Mus musculus: one gene and its partners. The protein of the gene in region 1 interacts with the protein of each later gene in a pairwise test. Links are inferred from orthologs where the notes say so. Each region holds a gene or a part of one and is shown in the gene's direction. Other genes may lie near its edges.

Evidence for each region.
Region 2: the proteins of Stat3 (region 1) and Bmx interact in binary tests that used the Homo sapiens proteins (3 or more experiments, as listed by UniProt). The link is inferred for Mus musculus from reciprocal best matches to the Homo sapiens genes STAT3 and BMX.
Region 3: the proteins of Stat3 (region 1) and Sri interact in binary tests that used the Homo sapiens proteins (3 or more experiments, as listed by UniProt). The link is inferred for Mus musculus from reciprocal best matches to the Homo sapiens genes STAT3 and SRI.
Region 4: the proteins of Stat3 (region 1) and Rpa2 interact in a two-hybrid assay, tested with the Homo sapiens proteins (2 studies listed by BioGRID and IntAct, with this or other methods). The link is inferred for Mus musculus from reciprocal best matches to the Homo sapiens genes STAT3 and RPA2.

The regions. Positions count from the first base shown.
Region 1 is NC_000077.6:100,894,005-100,899,307, reverse strand, and holds part of Stat3 (signal transducer and activator of transcription 3), read left to right. Parts: intron 1-484; coding exon 485-514; intron 515-606; coding exon 607-700; intron 701-809; coding exon 810-857; intron 858-2,901; coding exon 2,902-2,985; intron 2,986-4,145; coding exon 4,146-4,244; intron 4,245-4,471; coding exon 4,472-4,607; intron 4,608-5,091; coding exon 5,092-5,144; intron 5,145-5,303. UniProt on the Homo sapiens protein: Signal transducer and transcription activator that mediates cellular responses to interleukins, KITLG/SCF, LEP and other growth factors. Once activated, recruits coactivators, such as NCOA1 or MED1, to the promoter region of the target gene.
Region 2 is NC_000086.7:164,254,704-164,260,761, reverse strand, and holds the start of Bmx (cytoplasmic tyrosine-protein kinase BMX), read left to right. Parts: upstream 1-2,568; 5' UTR 2,569-2,711; coding exon 2,712-2,714; intron 2,715-6,058. UniProt on the Homo sapiens protein: Non-receptor tyrosine kinase that plays central but diverse modulatory roles in various signaling processes involved in the regulation of actin reorganization, cell migration, cell proliferation and survival, cell adhesion, and apoptosis.
Region 3 is NC_000071.6:8,054,108-8,060,031, forward strand, and holds the start of Sri (sorcin), read left to right. Parts: upstream 1-2,434; 5' UTR 2,435-2,481; coding exon 2,482-2,532; intron 2,533-3,430; coding exon 3,431-3,514; intron 3,515-5,245; coding exon 5,246-5,315; intron 5,316-5,924. UniProt on the Homo sapiens protein: Calcium-binding protein that modulates excitation-contraction coupling in the heart. Contributes to calcium homeostasis in the heart sarcoplasmic reticulum. Modulates the activity of RYR2 calcium channels.
Region 4 is NC_000070.6:132,765,781-132,771,849, forward strand, and holds the start of Rpa2 (replication protein A 32 kDa subunit), read left to right. Parts: upstream 1-2,579; 5' UTR 2,580-2,676; coding exon 2,677-2,686; intron 2,687-2,899; coding exon 2,900-3,006; intron 3,007-4,765; coding exon 4,766-4,867; intron 4,868-6,060; coding exon 6,061-6,069. UniProt on the Homo sapiens protein: As part of the heterotrimeric replication protein A complex (RPA/RP-A), binds and stabilizes single-stranded DNA intermediates that form during DNA replication or upon DNA stress.

The DNA.
Region 1 (5,303 bases):
ATGGCTGTGGACAGAAGATCAGCCTAGGCTATTGCCTCCTTGGTCTGGCTGAGAACAGGCCTTTAATCCCAGCACCCAGGAGGCAGAAGCAGGTGATCTCTGAGTTCAGGTCTACAGAGCAAGTTCCACGACAGCCAGGAGGGCTACACAGAGCGCTGTCTCGGAAAGCCGACAAAACAGACAAGGCAGACCCCGTCTTCACCTGCTCTGTGGCTTCCTCTGTTCTGATGAATGCAGTGATCGGGGTTCCCTGGAGATAGATGGCTCTGCCATCCCTTACTGAGAGAATGGAGCTTTCCTTAGGAAGGGAAAGAAGCTGTGGTTAGGCCCCCAGCTAAGGCTACTGTTTAAGTGCATACAGAGTTGTGTTTCACACCGAAAATGTAACTGAGCATCGAAAGGCATGTTCCATCAGAGTAGGTTCTGGAAAGAAAGAGGGGCTCTAATCTCAGCTTTTATTAACCCTTGTCTGTGTTCTTTACAGAGACTCTGGGGATGTTGCTGCCCTCAGAGGGTAAGTTGGGCCTCCTTTTGTTCTTTCTCATCCAACTTTACCCTCTGGCTACTCAGCGCTCACTGTGTGTTGGTTTTTCTCCCATGATTTAGGTCTCGGAAATTTAACATTCTGGGCACGAACACAAAAGTGATGAACATGGAGGAGTCTAACAACGGCAGCCTGTCTGCAGAGTTCAAGCACCTGGTCGGTGTCCGAGGGGAGAGGAGGCGGCACAGGCCAGGTGGCAGAGGAGGGGGGAGAGACTGGCACAGCCTCAAGTGACACTTGCCTCCTTCTTCTTCCTTTCTTCCAGACCCTTAGGGAGCAGAGATGTGGGAATGGAGGCCGTGCCAATTGTGATGTAAGTAAGTTTTGTTCGGGCTAAAAGCAATTGTTTTCTTTCTTTGAGGAAGAAAGAGAAAGCTCTCTCGCTCTCTCTCTCTCTCTCTCTCTCTCTCTCTCTCTCTCTCTCTCTCTCTCTCCCTCTCTCCCTCTCTCCCTCTCTCCAACCCAGAATTAAAACTTTAACCCACTACTTCAGATGTTTGTCCTTTAGAAAAGTTGGTCGCTCTGGGCCAGGGTGACATGCTCAGAAGTCACAGGTGCTGTGGAGTTTTCTAGCGAGAAACATTTCCCTGAGTGTTGGGGAGTTGGCTCCCTTTCAGCAGTGGGAAGTCCCTCGCCAAGCTGTTACCCACACCCATCTGGTAGAAAAGAAGTTTCCACATTGCCCGGGGCTTCCCAGAGTCCCTTGCTACTACCTGCCAGCTGGCTCCCTTTTCAGTGCCTGGTGAGACAAAAGGAAGACATCAAGTCAGCCAGTCAGAGCTAAACAGAAAAAAAAACAACAACAAAACAAAACAAACAAAAAAAAACCACCAACCAAACTGTGCTCAGGAGCTGAGGCAGGGGAATTGTGAGTTTGAGATCATTCTGTCATTCAGCACATACATGTAAAAGAGCTGGAAATTCATTCCTGAGAATTCATCAGTAATTTGTGTACTAATTGATGAGGGTCTGTGGTCCCGTGCAGGTCCCAGTTCCTCTTTCAGAGCTGTAGAGTATTCTGCTGCCTACACCACAGCTCATGACCACAGGTAGCCACATTGCTTGACTGCTTGTGTGGCACTGAAGGTTATCACAGTCACTTTAGAAAGTGACTTGGCATAAAAATGAGCACACCCTGTAAACCGGCAGTTCCAGTCTTAGGAATTAACAGTAAAGAAAGCTTTGCATAGGTGAACTAAGGACAGATAACACAGTCACAGCCATTGGTCATTGACACAGCTCAGATCTCTCAGCACTGGGGTCATGAGCTGTGGTGTAGGCAGTGGAGTACTCTACAGCTCTGAAAGAGGAACTGGGACCTGCACGGGACCACAGACCCTCATCAAGGTGGGGGTGGGGTGTCAGGAGCAGGAACACACTGAGAGTGCAGTTCACTGTGTGAAGTACACATGCTTGGAGAAACAACCATGAACACGGTTGGGAGGAGCTGGGAGACAGCAGAGACAAAGACACAGTAAAGTGCAGAGAAGGGGGATTCACCTGGGGAATCTCGGTGATAATGGCAACTTATGCGGGATGATAATGCTAGGCTATCGCTCAGTGTTGGGGTGCACTTAGATGCATGAGACCCTGAGTTTGCTCCCTAGTGCATATAAAAGGAAGGAGGGAGAGAGAGAAGAAACCTAAGAAGCCTTCCTTTATTCCTTCCTATTCTCCCCTCCTTCCTTCCCTTTCTCCCTCCCTCCTTTCCTCTCTCCTCCCTCTCCCTCCCTCCTCCCTCTCCCTCCCTCTCCCTCTCTCCTCCCTCTCCCTCCCTTCCTCTCTCTCCCCTCCCTCCCCTCCCTTCCCTCTTCCTCCCTCCCTTCCTTCCTCCTTCCTCTTTCTCTCCCCTCCCTCCTTCTCCCTCCCTCCTCCCTCCCATCCTCCCTTCCTCCCTCCCTCCCTCCCTCCCTCCCTCCCTCCCTCCCTCCCTCCCTCCCTCCCTCCCTCCCTTCCTTCCTTCCTTCCTTCCTTCCTTCCTTCCTTCCTTCCTGTGTGTCTGTGTTTGTGTATGGTCGCACATGTGCGATGGTGTGAATGTGAAGGTCAAGTTGCCACTTGAAGGACTTGTTTCTTCTTCCACCAAGTGGGTCCCAGGGATGAGGCTCGGGTTGGCAGGCAGATGCCCTTGCCCACTGAGCCATCTTGCTGGCCCTCAAATAAGGACGTAAGCTGGGTGGCTTATCCTTGGATGCTCATTGCTTTGTTATTCTTCGTGCCTTGAATGTGTATTGTAAGATATGGTTATGTACTATGTAGTGCATATGTGAGGATCATGTCCTTGGGTCTTTGGGTGGAAGAAAGAGGGCAGAGTTGTGTCCCTGCCAGTGTCTCTGAGAGACCTTATGCTGTTGCAGGCCTCCTTGATCGTGACTGAGGAGCTGCACCTGATCACCTTCGAGACTGAGGTGTACCACCAAGGCCTCAAGATTGACCTAGAGGTGAGGCCTTCCCAGAACCAGGCGGCTCGTGTGCGGGGGTGCGTGTGCAGGGAGGCCAGGACAGAACGCCTGCCGGGATGATGGCTGTCTGCCCAGCCTGGATTTGTTTCTCATTATCTATCTCAGAAACGTCCCTGAGAGCCACCCTGTCCCCAAGAGTAAAGTCTTGCTTGAGTACCTGTTATGAAAATCTATATTAGTGATTGTTTAGAATCGATTTGATGAAGTTTGGGCAAGTGGGTCTTAGTAGCCGCCATTTAGATTTTATTTTCCTGCTTGCTTGCTTGCTTGTTTCCTTCCTTCCTTCCTTAAAGATTTATTTATTTTATGTATGTGAGTACACCATTACTCTCTTCAGACACACCAGAAGAGGGAATTAGATTCCATCACAGATGGTTGTAAAGCCACCATGTGGTTGCTGGGAATTGAACTCAGGACCTCAGGAAGAATAGTCAGTGCTCTTAACTGATAGGCCATCTCTCCAGCCCCTGTTTTCCATCTTTCTTGATCTTATTAAGTTTAGACCTGGAAAAGCAGACATCCTTAGGTTTGATTTCTAACACCTCAGCTTCATGGAAAGATGCAGGTTGTTTGGAGGTTGCCTTCCAGGTCTGTCTCTGGAGAGTCGGGCTGAGGGCCTGGGTTAGCCTTAGTGTTTGGGTTAGTGTTAGTTGTTTGTTTGTTTGTTTTTAAAGGTTTGTTTGTTTATTTATTTATTATGAGTGCACTGTGGCTGTCTTCAGACACTCCAGAAGAGGGAGTCATATCTTTTTTATGGATGGTTGTGAGCCACCGTGTGGTTGCTGGGATTTGAACTCGGGACCTTCGGAAGAGCAGTCAGTGCTCATAACTGCTGAGCCATCTCTCCAGCCCTAGTGTTAGTTTTTAGGGCCTGACTTTGAACAAGTCACTGATGATGTTCAGACATCAGTGCTGATGCAGGCTGGTCCTGATGCAGGCTGGTCCTGATGCAGGCTGGTCCTGATGCAGGCTGGTCTTTCTCCTCTTGGTGTTCTTGCTCCAGCCTGCACTTGCCGTGAGGGGTGGCCATGGTGTGATTTTTAATTCTAACTTATTGAGATGCGGGTGACAAGGGTTGGGAGCTGTGAGAGCCCAGCTGTCCCACTAAGTCATTCACCGCCTGTCCCCATACTCTACAGACCCACTCCTTGCCAGTTGTGGTGATCTCCAACATCTGTCAGATGCCAAATGCTTGGGCATCAATCCTGTGGTATAACATGCTGACCAATAACCCCAAGGTGAGTTTCCCACCCCCAACCCTCTCTGAAATCCCTGAACCTTGCTGCTTCTCCACCCCCGGTGCAGGCTGTCAGTGTCACTCTCTCATCCAAGTGGGTGCAGGCTGTCAGTGTCACTCTCTCATCCAAGTGGGTGCAGGCTGTCAGTGTCACTCTCTCATCCAAGTGGGTGCAGGCTGTCAGTGTCACTCTCTCATCCAAGTGAACAAATGTGTTCTTTTCAATAGAACGTGAACTTCTTCACTAAGCCGCCAATTGGAACCTGGGACCAAGTGGCCGAGGTGCTCAGCTGGCAGTTCTCGTCCACCACCAAGCGGGGGCTGAGCATCGAGCAGCTGACAACGCTGGCTGAGAAGCTCCTAGGTTGACAGCTTCAGACATGTCTGGCCTGGGGGGTGGTCATTCAGTCGGGGTCCCCATGTCAGCCTAGGGCAAGGCACCATGCCAGGACCAGGTTGCTAAGTGTGTTTGAAGAGCATGTTTCTTTCTTTAAAAAGCCAAAGACAATAGTTTTAAATTTTTTCTCCCCTTTAAAAAAATATCTGGACTGAAAGTAACTTTGACCTGTGCTCCTACAAAAAAAAAAAAAAAAAGGCTCCTGACCCCAGCTGCCAGCTTTGTCACTGTGTGTTGCCAGTTCTCAGACCACACAAGGCAAGGACAAGCAGGGGTCCAACAGGACATCTGTGCTGGCCTAATCTAGGGACAGCTGTTGGGCTTGGGTGTGTGTGGGCATGTGTGGCACACACCCTGTAAGTACATGTACAAATGCATGGCCTTTTTGTAAATTCTGCTTAAGAAATAGCTTTGGCCAAGGCTGAAATCCGGTTGTTGTTTTCTCTTCCAGGGCCTGGTGTGAACTACTCAGGGTGTCAGATCACATGGGCTAAATTCTGCAAAGTAAGTGATCCTGTTGATTCCCTCAGTTAGGAGGTAGGTGTGGGGTGCCCAGGACCCCTTTCTCCAGCAGCTGTCAGGAGCTGCCTGAGGATAGAGGAACCTGAGGGTGTAAGAAGGCTCTGGCAGGAAAGAGCTGGGGTGAGTGGTGGTGGACTTGCT
Region 2 (6,058 bases), on another chromosome or scaffold:
TTCTTCTTGCAGTGGGAGACAGTTAATGTAGAGACCCATCAGAACTGCTCAAAGTGCTGAGAATAAATACATTTGCAGTGCTCAGCCCTATAATGGGACATCTGTGCTCTATATTACTCCTTGCAAGAACCAGAGAACAGTCTAGAAAAGGAGCCAGAAAGATCCTGAGAGTCAGAGGATGGAGATAAGGGCTAGGAGACCCTGTCTTCTGGATGTGACACAGCTGTTGCAATCGTGAACTCCAGGCAGCTGTGACTCCCTACACAGAAAAAAAAGAGGAAGGGGGGCTAGTTTGGGGGAAAAGGAGTCGGCAAGAGCAGAAGGAAGAGAGGGGTGGGCATGATTAAATGCATTACATGCTTGTATAAAATTATCAAAAGTTAAAAAATAAAACATAAGTCAAACAAAAAGTTTTGAGACAGGGTCTCACTGCTATTTAGACCAAGCTGGTCTTGACCTCAAAGAGATCAACTCCCTAATGCTGAAAGTGATAGAGGCTAGCCATCAACCTGAAGGATCCTCCCTCCCTCCCCTTCTCCTCCCTTCCCCTCTCCCTCCCTCTCTCCTTCCTTTTTCTTCTCTTCCCTCTCTCTTCTCCCTTTTTACCCTCTCCCTTTCATTGCTTCAATTGTAGTGGATTCAAGACCATGAGTGTAAGGGAACAAGCCTCGTCACATCACAAAGTCCCATCCCTTGGTGTGCCTCTTTGGCTGTTGCTCACTAAAGACTTGCACAAGCAAGCTGTCCAGAAAGTTCCAAAGGGTCTTGTCTGCCAAAGGACATAATAAAGACTACAATTGGAGTCAATTAAGTCATGTAATTAAAATTAAAAGTTAGAAGTTAACTGAAACCATGGAAAATACAGAGCCAAAGAAAGTTTCAGGAGGAATAGCAGGGGAAGAGAATCACTAGAAGAAGGAAATAAATCTGTGGCATTTTGACTTAGAGAAAACCACTCCTCCTTGCTGCCTTTGAATGGCACACCAATGGGGTATAGAAATCCCAGGAGATTGTATCCAGGTGTTTCCATGGTGATACCACCCCTTCCTTCCCCTCCTCTAAGTTATTCTTATTCTAAAATCTACCTACCATGTTACCACATATAACACCATACCGGGGGGGGGGGAGTGCAGAATTAAATCACTTTACCAGGTTATTAAGCCTGAGTCTCTACCAGAATGATCAGCACACAGCAGACTCTCAATATGATTTGAACAACTCAAAGACTAGCAACAATGCTATTCCTACCTCTGCCCAAATGAGTGCTTGTTGGAAAGGTGAGGGATTTAGTCTCCATCGCACACACACAAGGCATCATCATATGATCACATCACACATGCTTATAGATACATTAACATGCCCGCCAGTTAATAAGTGAATACAGTATGTTAATGCATACTAAAAGGTTGATTTTCTTGCACCCTACAGATGAGTCTAAAATAAGGTATTAGAGGTGCTAGAGAGACATCTCAGAGGTTAAGGGCATTGGCTGCTCATTTGGAGGACCCAGGTTTGATTCCCAGCATCCACTGTCCGTAACTCCGGTGTTGGGGTATCTGAAACCCTTTCCTGGCCTCTGAGGGCACTGTATGCATGTACTGCACTGACACGCACTCAGGAAAAAAATCCATACACATAAAATAATAAGTGATAAGAATCAGTGATATATTTGTAACTCCATTAGCTTTATTGTACATGACCAGCCGGCACACACTAGAGAAAATAGTGGTTGAGAATAGCCAAATACCAAGATGTGTTCATTATCAATAAAAACTGGCAGTCACATTTTTTTCTTGGTGATATTGCTGCAGCATACATTAGCAAAACCAGTCTTGTTCCCATTTTTAGACTCATTTCTTTGACATAAATTAACTCATTTCCTGTAGGCTGAGGCACGCCCCGGATGGTAGAGTTTCTGCTGGTCGTTGAATTCTTTCAGTATTCTGATAGCAGGCTTGAGTATAGCAGTGGAAGAGGTGTCTGTAGATCCAGGTCCCACCAGCCACTAGTTCCCTGCAGCTTGTTTCGTTAGCTAGGTTTGGCCTCAGAAAAAGAAATGTGCTAGGCTGGCTGGCTGATTCCAGTTTTTGACCATTTTCAGAAGGAGACATTATATTGGGTCCCATATTTACTGACTATTGCACACATGGGTATGTGCACTTTCAGGGGTGTAGTTCTTATTCTCCGGCCTTCCTTTGTCCAAGTGCTGGTTTGAAGTTTTCATTGCTTATTCTATGTACCCTTTGGCATTACCTAATGATTTCCTGACTCTGGCCTCTGTGCGAGAAGTCAGCGTCAGAAGTCGGGTTTCACCAAGATATTTTCTTGTCTTTTCCAGCACAAAGCTCTAGAAACAAAGGCAGGGTTATCACATGTCCCCAAGAGCTGCCTGGGAAAAGCAGGAGCCGCAGTTATCAGTATTAGAGCCTTTCTGAAATATGCTTTTGTCTCCGTGTTCATTGCATTCAATCACATCAACAAGTGTTGGCTAAGTGTTGAGCGTGGTTTCCTGTGGGATTGTGTAAGGCCCTGCAGGACAATAAATGCTTTGGGGGCACTGAGTCGTACAGCCATTTCTGACCCAACAGCCAGGGGAAAAAAAAATGTGATACAATTCACTGCTGCTGGAGAGAGGACAGCCCGAGGTTGCGTTCTTGCAGGAGCAGCTTCGCTTCACCGTGGTGGACCCCAGGGAGACAGAAGGAGCCCAAATGGTGCGTTTAAGTGGCCTGTGACTACGCAGTGTCATTATCTTACAGAATAGGTTTGGACCCAGATGTTGTGGTGCCTGGAGGTTTTAAATTTTGGAAAGCCCATCTCAGGAAAAAAAAAAACCACAAAATTATGAATACAGAGGTGTTGGGCTGCCCCTGGGACTTGAAAGGGAGCTTGTAATTTGGGGACCAGAGGTTTAAATCCCTATAGTTTCACTGTGAATTATTCACCTTGCTCAAACTTTCACTCTGAGAGGCTGCCTGATTAGGTGCCTAGCGAGACCAGCTGGATGTAGCTTTGTGCTCTTTCCTCTGTTGATTTTCTCCGCGTGCTTCTTCGCATACTGCCGTGGCAATGACATTTCACACTGTCTCTATAACTGCTCGCAAAACAAAGAAACAAACAAACAACAACAAAGAGCTTTTAGATGTACCTTCCCTTCTTTATCTTTTTTATCATGCTTTTTCAGCTACAAATGTTTGCTTTTCCATTCCTGAACTCTCCATAAACCAGAAATTAAGAGTGTTTCATGATGGAAAGAGAGACGTGGGAGACAAATGGTGCATTTGGTTCCCACGACCATAGAATTAAAGAGGTCTTGCTAGCTACAGTGATTTCACTGGATTTTAATAAATACTGCAAATAAATTGTAGTTTCTGTCAGTGCTCTAGTGTTCGCATGAGTCACCAGAGTCAGCTGTGCTCTTTACCTTTTTAATTTACTCTTTGATAAGTTTAAATATTTTGCCCGGATGAAAAATATTTTGATCAAGTATTTATTTAGTTCGGCTCTTCCCGCTTCCTCTCACTCCCTTGGACTCTGTTCTTCCTCTGAACAAGTCTCCTTTCTACTGTGTTTTTACCCACTTGCTTGCATGAGTGTAGGTATGGGCTTCTTTGCTAGAACATCTTAGTGGTGAAGCAGCTCCAGGAGGTAATCGTACTATCGGACCATGAACCACCCTTAGAGTCACTTCCAGTATGTGTTTGGATAAGTATTTGTGGTGGTACAGATACACCATGCAGACTGGCTGATTCACCCTGATTGGAAGGTAACTGGTCCCCAAGAGAGCTGGTTACAAACATAAGGAGCAGGTGCTTATTGACTTGAGAATATGTAAAGAGCTTGGGGGCAGGGCGTGAGAAAGGAAAAATTATCTTTGAGGCACACATCATTGTCTTCAGACTATTTTTCAATGTAACTATAGAGTGCTGTGGAGAAGCTTCATCTCCTACGGTGCTGGTCAGGGCACTGCCATTTTCTCATGACTTCTCAAAACCCTTCAAGGCAGTTATTGTTTTTACCGTGTTTACAGATGAGGAAGCTGAGGTTTAGCAGGGTTAGGTAATATGTCAAGTTGCAGAGAGACAAAGAAAGATTTGAACCTATCCATATGTGATGGTCTTGTCTATGCCAGTCCACATCTAGAGAGTAATAGATGCTAAGCCAATGCTAACTGATAGATTTACCACTTTTTATTTTTCTGATGAAGATGCCCAGAGGGAGTGGCCAGGGGGAGGGGAGGCAAAAAGGAAGAGGTTGCTCAAAATAAGAGAAGGTGGCTCAGAAACTCTCCAGAAGGCACAGAAGATGAATCTTATGTGCGAAGCCAATGTGATCTCAGACAGAGGTAGCACTGGAATTTTCTCTTGGTGAGAATAAAGTTTGCCTTGTTTTCATAAGCTTATCTCAGAGCAGTCAACATTTGGTCTTCCAAAATGTTAAGGATGTGAGTGTTGACATTAGTTTTTCTGTCTGTCTCATGCCAAGATCAACTGTAACTCTCTGACCTGCACCGTGTCGTGTGAAATAGGGACTTGTTGGGTCTACAGAGCTGAAAGCCAGTACCAGGGGCTTTGTTCAGCAACTTTGACTGATTCTGAATTGTACTTCTTGTTCTTGCTTAAGCTTACCATTGTGTTATGTTCAGTTGTTTAGCAGAATAAACAGGACCAACTTTGGACAAATACTTGACTATTTAAGTTGTCAAAGGACTCTCCAATTTCTTTTTCAGACCCCTGCCCAATCTTCATGTGGAGTACCTCCCTTCTCCTGACTCGTCTTCCTGCCTATCCAATACATTTATCACTTTATATTTTAGCACCAGTTAATCAAAATCTACAGCTAAACGACATGTAAAAGAAGACAACAAAACAAGAAAAGGGTTAGAAAGTGTTGCCTCCACTATCCCTTCTAAAGAACATCTTGAACTATTCAGGGAAGAGGTTTCCATTGCCAGACTGGACCAATTTAAGTACACCCCATCTCTCTCCTGTCTCCAGCTCCCACCTCCTTCACTACCTGCCATTTACTCCCACTTTTAAGGCTGAATATTTTTAGCACTATTCAAAATATGCATTATAATTCATCTATAGTGTCTGTGTTTCTGAAACCAGAGATAAAATACGGGGCCTTGTACATACATGATTGACAACCATTCTTTACCTTCATTCTGTACCCTAGCCTGGAGTTTTGCTGTCTAACAATGTATTGAGGCATTCCACTGAATGATTATTTCAAAGTCACATCTTTCTGAGAGTTCGCTGGTAAATGTTCCTTGCACAGGTCATATTAGATCCACATTTATGTCTAGTTCCCTCAACAGTGTGCCTTATTAAGGTGGAAGTAGCTTTGGTTGAACATAGAAATCGCTCTCATATGTGAGTTTCTCTGCAACTCTCTGTCTGCCTCTTTGCCTCTCTGCCTCTCTGTCTCTCTCTGTGTGTATGTGTATGTTTGTGTGTATGTATGTGTGTGTGTGTCTGTCTGTGTGTGTCTGTGTGTGTTTCCCCCTCTTTGATACAGGATCTCACTGTGTAGTCTTGGCTGGTCTGGACCTCAGAATGTAGACCAGGCTGGCCTTGATTTCATAAAGACCCTCCTGCCTCTGCTTCCTAAGTACTGGGATTAAAGGCATGTGCCACCATGCCCAGTTATTTGAGTATGTCCAGTGCCATAGTATGAATGCATCTAAGGTAAGACAGCTGAATCTAGCTCCCTGAGCTATTAGATCACTGCTTTGTCGTTTTAGCAAAGTTGCTTAGAACGTTAGGGTTCAGAATATCTTTAGTAAAAAGTTACTCCAAGCTTTCACACTCTATGGCTGCTTTCTTGTGTTTAAGTTAGTCTTCTCAGGTTTAGGTCACACAGTGACCATGTTCTTTTCTGTCACTGGTATCCTGGTCAATAATGTGGACTTTAGAGCTAAGTGACCAGAATTCAAATGCCAACTCCAACACATTACCAGTGTGACTTGGTGTTCCATACAGTTCCAAGAATGGTCTACAATAGCTAGCTGTATTTACAGTTTCAAATGAGTGTTTGGGTTTTTTCTTTGTTGGTT
Region 3 (5,924 bases), on another chromosome or scaffold:
CTGAGAGCTAGGAATGACATCTCTTCCTGTCTTTAAAAGATAGGAGGAATAGAGTTATTCTGACATTCAACAACGATATGAAGTTCAGTGAATGAAGTTGCTCTAGATCACAGTCACACTGTTGACCTGTGTTCTATCCTTAGACACCACCAGGCTATGAGAGCCAAGAAGTTGCTATAGGGAGCATGTGATGGAAAATATTTACTATCTGGACATTTTCTCCCCCATCCCCACCTCCACCCCCACCCCGGGGGCGGAGCTAGAGTACCTAGCACCATAGCCCAGCTCTGAATTCATATCCTCCTTTCTTTGTCTTGTCTCAGCTCTCGTTTCTCAACTGCATAAAACTGCATAACAAAAGCGCCTATCTCACAGGTCTTTGTGAGGACTACACAAATAGGCAAAGTTTATGAAGGTCTGACACTCATTAATTACTGTGTGTGTGTGTGTAATTTATCTTTGTTTTCATCATTAATTTGTTGGCAATCGCTGTAAGGATTTCATTTACAGCCCTCCATTAAAATTCACTTCTTAAGGGAGGAGTAACCAGAGTCTAATGTCTCCTAATGTGACAATTAATGTAGTCGCTTATCCATAAAATGAAGCCTGCATTAGTCACAAATGCTTTATTGGTGACACATATTTTTTGTGATATTTTCAAACTCGAGTCCTGAAAGAGCTTAAATTCAAGTGTGAGTTGAGCCCTGTTCACCTAGCCGATTAAAGTTCCAAACTACAGGACAAAACCTCAGAATGCCTAATCAAAGACCATGGTATTTGAGAACAGTAATTTTATCTCCAGAAGCAGACGTAAAACAGGCTACACCTTTGCTACGTGATCACAAGGACTATTGGAATTGTTTCTCGCTATTTAGAACTTTCTGTTTTGGAGCTTATGTATCCAAAGAGAACTTGGTCACACACTATGGTCAGTCTTGTTCATTAAAGTGTTTCTCAAAATGTTAAAAACAAAACCAAGAGCGGAAGTGCCCTCCTTTCCTTTCTGCTGGGTACCGCTGCCTGCTGTCAAGATGGGCAAGTTCATGAAACCCGGGAAAGTGTTGCTGGTCCTGGCCGGATGCTACTCCGGTCGCAAAGCCGTCATCGTGAAGAACATTGACCATGGCTTCTTGGACCGCCCTTACAGCCATGCCCTGGTGGCTGGAATTGACCGCTATCCCCAAAAAGTGACAGCTGCCATGGGCAAGAAGAAAATCGCCAAGCGATCCAAGATCAAGTCCTTTGTGAAAGTTTATAACTACAACCACCTCATGCCCACAAGGTACTCTGTGGATATCCCCTTGAACAAGACTGTTGTCAACAAGGATGTGTTCAGGGACCCAGCTTTGAAACAAACGCAAGGTCAGGCGGGAGGCCAAGGTCAAGTTTGAGGAGCGATACAAGACAGGGATGAACAAATGGTTTTTCCAGAAGCTTCGCTTTTAGGTATATTTTTGTTTCGTCATTAAAAATAAAAATAAATTAATAATAACAACAACAACAATAATAATAATAACAATAAAGCAGGCAACCGTTGGTGACTCTCATCTGGGGCTGAGGCCATGAGAGGCTACCCTGAGAACCTGGATCTCAAAAGGAAAGAGTAAGAGCAAACAGTCAAAAGCAAACAAACAAAACATCGACCAACCAACACTGTTCAGTCCTTAACAGTCCGGAGCCAGCAAACAATTACCTCTTGTTGCAATTGCACCAAAAAACAAAAAAGAAGCCGTGAAACATCTGAACAACCCACGTGAGTTTCACATCCTTTCCAGGAAGCTTCACCACTGGGGTTGTTTCTATTCGAATCATCCAGAAAATTAAACAATTCACTTTCCTATGAATGACCTGGGTGAGGCTGTCCTGCCTAGAAACTGCCCTCTTCTACCCCACCCCACACACCCACGCCTAGCAATCGCACCTGAGCTACACTCAGCTTAAACGGTTGGCAAAGAAACAGGCCACCCTCAGTCAAAGCTAAAAGCCCACTTGCATGGTTCAGAAGTTTTCATCAGGTTTTCAAAGTTTTTTTTTTCCTATTTTGTAAAGTGTCTCCTTCGCCCACTGGAATTGTTCTCCCCTTCCCTACAGTTGTGCATAGCGTTCTTATCCCGTCCTCTCTACCCAACAACCCGGTGTAAATAGTAAATGTTCTACAAAATAGCACAGTAGGAAGAAGGGGGGAAAAAACCCTCCCCTAGCTGTGCGTGGATGTCGGAATGTGCCACTAGGTCGAGAGGGAGAATGGGTCCTGATATAAACTCGTCTGGGGTCCTGGGTCATCGCCCGAGTGTGGGTCGCAGACGGCGCTGACACAGCACAGAGGCAGCAGGGAACGGGCGGCACTCGGGATGCCGCGGGGCGATCGGGGTGGGTGGCGGCGAGCGGCGGCCCCCGCGGGGCGGCGTGGTGCGCTCCGGGGCGGCTCTGGGCCGGACGGGCGGAGCAGCAGACAGGCAGGGCGGAGGCGCAGTCTGCACCATGGCGTATCCCGGGCACCCTGGCGCGGGCGGAGGGTACTACCCAGGCGGGGTAAGTGCAGCGGACGAGGGCACAGCAGCCTCTGGTCTCCCGAGACTGGAAGGCGCCACGGACGAGCGGGAGGAGGCGTCGCGGGCGGTCCCAGATGCTCCCTGCGAGCTCGCCTGGACCCTGATGTCCAGCCTTGGCTCCATTTTTCTTCCCCATCTCTTCCAAGGGCCTTTCCAGGGCCCACCGGTGGGTGGGCTGCGACCCAGGAAGCCCATTCTGTAACTCGGATATGTGGCGTGAGATAGTGCAAGTTGGTGTTGACTTCCTGCTCTCTCGGAATGTCCCCAAAGCAACAACAGCCATCTTGATCTAGAATGGTTCTGTGGTCACTCCCTTGAAAAGAAAGTGACAGGGAGACCAGAAAGTCTGGAGAAATGAGCTGAAGTCCTAGAGGAAGACCACTTAGGCAGATGTGGGAGGTGTACTGTCAGAGACAGAGGGACCCTCATTTTAGATATAACCGGGCCGGCCATCCCTGTTCTTCCCAAGCCACACCTGTCAGCCCTGTACTAACTCCAGCCTTACTTAGTACTTCAAGTACTTCAAAAACACCGCAAAGGCTGTAAAAACCAACAGGAAAACAGTCCTAAGCCTAGCCACCAGGTTGCTTCCGGTGCACTGACCTCTGTAAGCTGGTTAATAGGGATTTTTAAAGTGGGTCTGCGTTTAGTGGCCATCACTCTCATGAAACTTGTTTTGGACCAAGTCTCCAGCTTTTAGATGTCAGGAGCAGGAGTGGACAAGCCTGGTGGGTCACTGAGCTGAGTCAAGGTGGTGGGGAAGATAGAGACTGTGAAGGTCGCACAGGCGTCAATTGTACAAAAGCCTTGGATGGTTAAGATAAATTCAATTCTCTCTGATGCCTTTACCTTTTTTTTTTTTCTTTTCTTTTTCACAGTATGGTGGGGCTCCCGGAGGGCCTGCGTTCCCTGGACAAACTCAGGATCCGCTATATGGTTACTTTGCTGCTGTGGCTGGACAGGTTAGCCTTTCCTTCAATACTGAAGAATTGTTATGTTCTGTTTGTGTTAGCATTTAGTGCAGTGGCACAAAAACAGTCTTTGCTCTGGAAATGAGTCCCTTTGCCTGAAAGAAGGTAAAAGGAAAGGAAGACTAAAACAGTCTTTATTTTAGATCTGGACAAATTTGGACAGAGTATTGCCTGTATCAATAATAGATCAGTTCAAAGCTTGTGATTGGACTGGGATTAGACTGACCCAAAGGGGGAATATAAATATACTTTGAAGATCTACAAAGTGTATACCTCCTCACTTGTATTGTCAGGATAGAACAAGGGCTGCTTACAGAGAAGAAATTCAAGATCTGAACATAAAACCTCTGCTTGCCTAACCTAAAGACAAATATTAGTAATTAATTATTTTATGGCCCAATTATGATAGTTAGCTACTTTCAGTTGAATTCGATAATTAATCATTTACCCACAAAGGAAGTAGAGAAGAGCTGTAAAGAAGCATCGGCTTCCAAGCACAAGAGTTGCTATCAGTATTCGGAAGGTAGCCTCCACCCAGGGGCAGGTGCTCTCTGGAGCTAGCGCTCCATGTCCTTATTAGGTGATGTGGCCAGATGACCCACGGAGGGAATGCAGGTCAGCTAGTCCCAAGTCCTAAGACCTACTTCCTCCCTCCGAGAGTTATGACCGATGCCTATGGCTATTGTGGGGAAGGACATGTTCCTAGGTTGCAAGGTCACTGTGTGTTTGTAAGTGTTCTGTGGACATAATCCAGATGTGTCCAGAGGGGACCTCCCTTCTTAGTCACCTTAGACTTGTTTTAAACAAGAGCCCAAAAGAAGGAAATGATGATTTGAAAAAACAAGCAAACAAACAAACAAACAAACAAACAGATATGCTCTAGAATATGCTAAGCAAACTTCTACGGCCACCTTGGAAGAAGTGGTACTCTAAGAAACAGAGCTCGGAGAATTTGAATGGAAAATTGAGTCGAAGACTGGGAGACTTTCCTCTCGAGTGTCTACTTAATATGTTATCGATCCGTGTTTTTGAAACCACAAGACATAGCACACCTCAAGACAAGCATTCTTAGATTGCCAGTGTCTTCAGCATGTAAGTGACTCCACCTGCTTGACTTTCAGCAGTGCTGGCCTCTAGTCCACACATTCATCTTCTTGCAAATTATTGATCTTGTTCCTAATTATAACTTAATGAGTCTCACCAACTTGGATTTATATATTTTATTTAAAATCCATAAAAATGTCATGTGTCTTATTCTGACCTCAGTCAACCAGTAAGTAGGTATTGGTACCCTGTATCTTTTCTATATAATTGTGCTTGGAAGACCCTGTTTGCTGAGTCAAACTGGTCCAAGAGCCTCTTTCTCCTTGGACCAGGCCTTGTATTTACTGATGCCTACAACTCTGTGATATACCCTACTTCCCCCCTCTTTCAAAAAAAAGGGTTGGAGGGATATGTTTTTAAACAATTCTGTTAACTAATTTTAAAATGATTGATTTTGATAGTTCCTTGGCTCAAACTGAATGCAGACTGTTGTCATGACAGTTATTCTCTCACCATTGAATTATTTTTGGAATTAGAATAAGAAGAATTTTGAAAGGCATTCCTTTAAAGAAATGCTACATATAATTATTTTCTCTTGTTAAATGCTGCTTAATGGCTTGAAAGTGCAAGTCACCACCCTGATTTCCTTTCCTGGTTTTTGTTTGTATTTTTTTAAAGGACGGACAAATTGATGCTGACGAATTGCAGAGATGCCTAACACAGTCTGGCATTGCGGGAGGATACAAGCGTAAGTTCGTGGTCTTAGGATCTGTCTAACAATACTCTTGTTCTCTGTACTTCAGCTGTGAACTGCGATTGTTCCTTTAAAGAAATCAAACTCTTCTCATCCACCAAGCTATTATTTTTAAAAAGTTAATTGAGCAGAGTTCCTAACAAGCCATTTCAGTTTACCAGAGAGGTTAGTGGACTTCTTGGATTTGGGTTCCTTGTATTCCAGGACCATTGGAACCAGTGAGACCATTTGGGTGGCCTCCCACTCAGAGGACAAGTTAGGGTGCTGAAATGGAATCCACTGGGTCAGGTATCGTTAATGCTAAGTGCTAACAGGTACCACTGATTCTACCAAGTGCTTGTTCTATCCTAACTCTGGTGGCACTGAGAGAGTGGCCAGTCTTGCTGTCTGATCTCTGGGCTCTGGGCTTACTCCCTGGTAATACAAACACTTGCAGGCCATGACACTGCCAAGGTCATTCTTTCTGTCACCTGAGAAGATGTGTTCATGCTGAGGAAAGCTTCCTGCTTTCACTCCATGCCAGCCTTCTGCTCCGTCCTCCATTCATTGCAGGCTGTATGTGCAGCCCCACTGTTTGTCACATAGCCTACCGTCCTGACTTCT
Region 4 (6,069 bases), on another chromosome or scaffold:
CGCCCTCTTCTGGAAAGCTTAGGTATCCACACATACATAGCATGCACTCACACACAGAAGCACGGATAAAAGTAAGTAAAAGAAAGTTAAAAGCCAGCCTGGGCAGTACAGGGAGCCTGTAACAAAAGAAGGAAAAAGGAACCTCAGAAATTCTGATCTTGGCCCAAGCCCAAGCCCATACTAGACAAATGATCTTCTACTAAACTACAGCCACAATACACATGCACATATACATAATACTTACATACATAGCACATACATACATGTACACATATACACACACAAATGCACGCATGTACATATATATACACAAACACACACCAGTACACCTACATATACACACATGTACATGCATACACAAAATACATATATACACAAACATGCATATGCATATACAATATATACCACATACATATAGATATATACATACACTACACCTATACACACATACACTTATACAAATGCCACTATAACCACACACAGATAAACACATATACACATACATGCATACACATATATATACATATATACACACCCCTACACACATATGCACATATACTTACACCTATGCACACATGCACACACACACCTATACCCACCTACACACATTTAATGGTTTGAAATAACCTTTGTCAAATGTGTGAGACATGGTGCACACTTGGAAGACAAAGGACAACTCTCAGGAGCTGGTACTTGAGGCCTCCTCCACAGGAGCGTCCTCCTTGCCACAGGAGTGCTGGGATTGCAGATGTGCCATTGCGTTTGGCCTTTTGTGTGTTCAGGGTTTAGAGCTCAGGTCGGCAGGCTTGCCCCTCATGTGCTCTACCCAATGACCATTAAACAACTGAGCACACAGGACTGCGGGGATGGCTCAGGGGTTAAGAGGGCATGTTGCTCTTGCTGATCACCTGAGTTAGCATTACAGAATGGACACGGACACGGCCAAGGGACAGCTGCCTATAACACATTTAGGGACCCCCCAAGACCTCCTCTGGCTTTGGAGGCACCTAAACTCATGTGCACGTACCCACATACTTTCTAGAAAACTAAACACATGCTCTAGTGCTCGATCAGCTTTTAGACGAAGGTGTATGACTCATATAATGACTGGTTGAAATCACGGGAGACTGAGAGGGAGACAAAACTGGGGGCAAGACAGCAGGACATCTTTGGATCTTTTTAACTGTGGCCATGTATGGCCATGAGGTTTCTTTTGTTTGTTTTCTTTTTTTTTTCTTCAAGACAGGGTTTCCCTGTGCAGCCTTGACTGTCCTAGAACTCACACTGTAGACCAAGCTGGCCTCAAATTCACAGAGATCCACCTGCCTCCACCTCCCAAGTGTTGGGGTTAAAGGCGTGTGCCAACCCCTCCCCCAGGTAGGGTTTCTTTCTTTGAAAACATGAACATGTTATCTATGCCCTGGATACAAGCCTGTGTGTGCGTATGAACATGTGTGCTGGAGTGTGTGCTTGTGTGTGTGTGTGTAGAGGACAACTTGTAGGAGTTGTGATGGAGCAGCCTGACTCCACCTTAAGTTCTGAAGCCATCTTATCATACTACCAAAATAAGTCCATTCCTCTTTTCTATAAAACTTAATTTGACCAGGTCTTGACCAACTTTCTGAATTTCGACAGGTTCCACACCCTATACCCTGATTTCAGTCTGATAGACGTTCTGCCAAATAATGCTGAAATGTTCGACCAAGTGCCTACATAACCCTTGAAAATGTCCATATTCTTGCAGTTTTGGGGGTTATATAAACCTCACCTCTTGTGTTCGATGCTGTTTTCTCATTTTGTATTTGTTTTGTTTTTTCGAGACAGGGTTTCTCTGTGTAGCCTTGGCTGTCCTGGAACTCACTCTGTAGACCAGGCTGGCCTCGAACTCAGAAATCCTCCTGCCTCTGCCTCCTAAATGCTGGGATTAAAGGTCTGTGCCACCACTGCCCGGCGATGCTGTTTTCTCAAAACCCCAGTTTAGCGAGATAGCCATCTCTGACAAAATTAAGCTTGCTTAATTTGACCAAAAATTGTTTAATCATTTCTACTCATCTTCAGTGGGATTAACAGTTGAGCCTCTCCTTCCACCATCACGCAGGTATTTATTTATGAATACAATATCACTATCTTCAGACACACCAGAAGAGGACAGCAGATCCCATTATAGATGGTTGTGATCCACCATGTGGTTGCTGGGAATTGAACTCGGGAGTTCTGGAAGAGCAGAAAACTAGCAGTTTGGCGGGAAAAGGGGGCTAGCGAGCGGCGGAAGTGATGTAGGGTTGCATGCGACGGAGATGGGGTGTGTGTGAAGAATGCTTGAGGATGGCCCCGGAAGTATCGTTTTGATTGGTTGTTTTCTTGAATACTGTCCTATCGGAAATTTGCCCTCAGTAAAGATGGCCGCGCATGCTTCCATTCCTTCTTGGGGCCGGGTGTTTTTCCTAAGCTTGGCCTTGATACCGAAAAAAAAAGGAGGGGACTCATGAGTTCTGATTGGCTGAAGGTAAATGTGTCCAGGGCGCTGATTGGCTGTCCCTTCGCGGGAAGGAGTTTGTGGCGCCAGTGCAAAGTAGCCAGAAGGCTGCCACGCCAGAGCGGCACAGAGTTCCCAAGTGTTCTTAGTTTTCGTGTCCGAGCGTCTTGGGCCGCTCTCTCCGGAGAACTGCGACCAGGATGTGGAATAGTAATGGCGGGCGTGGGGAGAGTCACGCGAGGGTGTTGGGAGTGGGCGAGTCTGGCGCAGGAAGGCCGGGACGGAGCGAGAGGCCCGAGGCGGGCTCGGCGGCGTTCGCGGGGTGGCAGGGGGATTGTCGCGGCTGGGGCGGTGGGGACAGCGGTCGCCAGGTATAGAGATGGGGAGCGCAGCGCAGACTCTGACGACGGTCGTTCCCCGCAGGCGGATTCGAAAGCTTCAGCAGCTCCACCTATGGCGGAGCAGGCGGCTACACGCAGTCCCCCGGTGGCTTCGGGTCGCCCACACCGTCGCAGGCGGAGAAGAAATCGGTACGTAGACTGACGGCTCCGTTCTCATTTGTGTCCTGGCCAGGAGGGAACGTGTTTTCGTGCGGGAGGGTGGCACACCCCAAGGTGTCAGAAGCTGTCCGTTACCTACCTTGTCTTTTGTATGGTCAAGTGGGGAACAGGGTTTTTATTATTTTATTGTTTGGCAAGCCTGCAGTGGTTCGCCCGGCCTCCATTTTCCTGGCCCTACCACTCGAAAGTATGCTTTAGTAGAGTTTAATATCGCTGTCCCCAGGGCACAAAAATCCCTGAAGAACAAGAGTCCACTGTGTTCAGAACAGGTTTGGGGTTGTTTCCTGTTGGTAACTGACAGGAAGGACACGCTAAGCCTTAATCTGCTGGGCTTTTTCTGCCTCGTACATATTCATTGTATGACCAAGTGTTTTGGAGGTGTTTGTAGCTCTGGCTGGCCTGGAACTCAGAGATCCACCTGCCTGTACACTGTAGTTGTCTTCAGACACACCAGAAGAGGGCATCAGATACCACTACAGATGGTTGTGAGCCACCGTATGGTTGCTGGGAATTGAACTCAGGACCTCTGGAAGAGCAGTCAGTGCTCTTAACCGCTGAGCCATCTCTCCAGCCCAAAAAGATCCTTTCTTAAAAAACAAACAAACTACATTGCTCGTAGGTGGCTTGAGAGGCAAGTGTCTTTGCTAGATGCTCCTCTGCCCACTCCATCTGACTCTCCTGTTAAGATGCCCAAAGATGAGCAGCTTGACGAAACTCACCAGGTTTTCTGCAGAGACTGCCATCTGGTTGCCAGAATATCTCCTAAAAGAAGCTATACTTCTAACTTCTTCCATTTTATCAAGAAACCTAGAGCATCTTCGTAGTCCTTTTTCTGCTTGTCATTTCTCAAGCCTTTTCACAAGGCCCTGTTGTCTCCGTGGTGTCCTGAACACTGCTCTTGCTATGTCTGGGATGTGCTCTTTCTACCCCTACCTCTCTGAGACAGTTGTTTTCTTGTTGTTGTTTTGTTTTGGGTGTCTGTGTGTGTGTGTGTGTGTGTGTGTGTGTGTGTGTGTGTATCCTTGGCTGTCCTGGAACTCACTCTATAGACCAGGCTGGCCTTGAACTCAAGAAGTCCACCTGCCTCTGCCTCCTGGGTGCTGAGATTAAAACCATTTGCCACCACTGCCTAGCCCTGGGATGCGTTCTTTTTTTTTTTTTTTTTTTTTTTTTTTTAAGATTTATTTATTTATTATATGTAAGTTCACTGCAGCTGTCTTCAGACACTCCAGAAGAGGGCATCAGATCTTGTTACAGATGGTTGTGAGCCACCATGTGGTTGCTGGGATTTGAACTCCGGACCTTCGGAAGAGCAGTCGGGTGCTCTTACCCACTGAGCCATCTCACCAGCCCCCACCTGGGATGCGTTCTAAAGACAGGCTATCCTATGTTGTCCTGACTCTAGTCTGACCTTTTCTTTGTGAACCCACAATAGGATACAAACATATATTCACCTGGAGGTCTAGCATCAGATCCCTGTGGGCTTGAATTCAAAAGTGTGGCATTCGCCGTGTATAGTAGCACACACTCTGAATCCTAGCACTTAGGAGGGAGAGGAAGATGAAACAAATGTTAACTTTCTGGCCCTGTTTTCTGTCTCTTTTTAAAGTAAGGAGAACTTGGTTTTGCAATTCCAGGAGTGTGGTATATTCAAGTGCTTGGCACATGGAAATATTAAATGAGTGATTGTTACTCTCTTGGGTTGACTGTGCGTACTTTTTCTTTTCAGAGAGTCCGAGCCCAGCATATTGTGCCCTGTACCATATCCCAGCTGCTTTCTGCTACTCTGACTGATGAAGTGTTCAGAATTGGAGATGTCGAGATTTCACAGGTCTGTAAGATTTTGTGGAAGAACCGTTTAGAGATAGGAAATATGAGGGGTGGGAAGATGTCTGCGCAAGCGTGAGGCCCAGTATCAGATCCGTATGCATGTACAAGGCCAGGCTCGCTTCCCCTGGGTCCTGTAACTACGAAGCTCAGAGACGGGAGGGTCCTAGGGCCTTGCTGGCTCCAGGTTCAGTGAGAGACTCTGTCTCAAGGGAATAAAAGCAATAGTGCTAGACCTGGACAGCCAATGTCCTCCAGCAAGGGCATTGCTCATCTGTCTGCTCATTTGTGCATACCCTTCACGCATATGCAAAGAAAAAGGAGTAAGACTTGCTTAATCGAAAAGTATGTAGCAAGTGACGTGCTCTGTGGGTGAAAGTGCTTGGGCCTTTAGCACAAGTCTGATTACCTGAGTTCAGCCTCCATATTCTACATTAGAAAAAGAACCAGCTCCCTAAAATAGCCTCTGACCCCTGGGCCATGGCACACATACACACAATGGTAAAATAACAATATTTTTGTGGAAAGTATTTTTTGTTTGTTTGTTTGTTTATTTATTTATTTTTCGAGACAGGGTTTCTCTGTATAGCCCTGGCTGTCCTGGAACTCACTCTGTAGACCAGGCTGGCCTTGAACTCAGAAATCCGCCTGCCTCTGCCTCCCAAGTGCTGGGATCAAAGGTGTGCGCCACCACCGCCCGGTGGAAAGTACTTTTTAAAGCTGGGCAGTGGTGGCTGACACCTTTAACCCCACCAATGCGAGGCAGAGGCAAGTGGACCTCTGAGTTCAAGGCCAGCCTGATCTATTATAGTTCCAGGACAGCCCGGCCTGCACAGTGAAACCGTATCTCCAAATAAACCAACAAACAAAAAGTAATTTTAAAAAAGAATATGAAGGTATTCTCCCTTGGAGCCTCTGTTACTTGTAGGAGTTGTTTCTCAGTTTTCCTGAATGAATATGATCTGTTCAGATAAATAAAAGTAAGTTTTAGACTGAACATGGCAGCTCACACCTATAATCTTGGCACCCAGGAGGCAGGCAGGAGGATTAATTACCACAAGTATGAGGCCAGTCCGGCCCATGAAACAAGTGAGACTATCTCAAAAAAAAAAGTTTATAAATTATTTGTGTGTATATGTGCATCTTGCTTTGATCCCCAGGGAAATCAGACTGTGTTTATTTCTTCCTCTATCCTAGGTCACTATT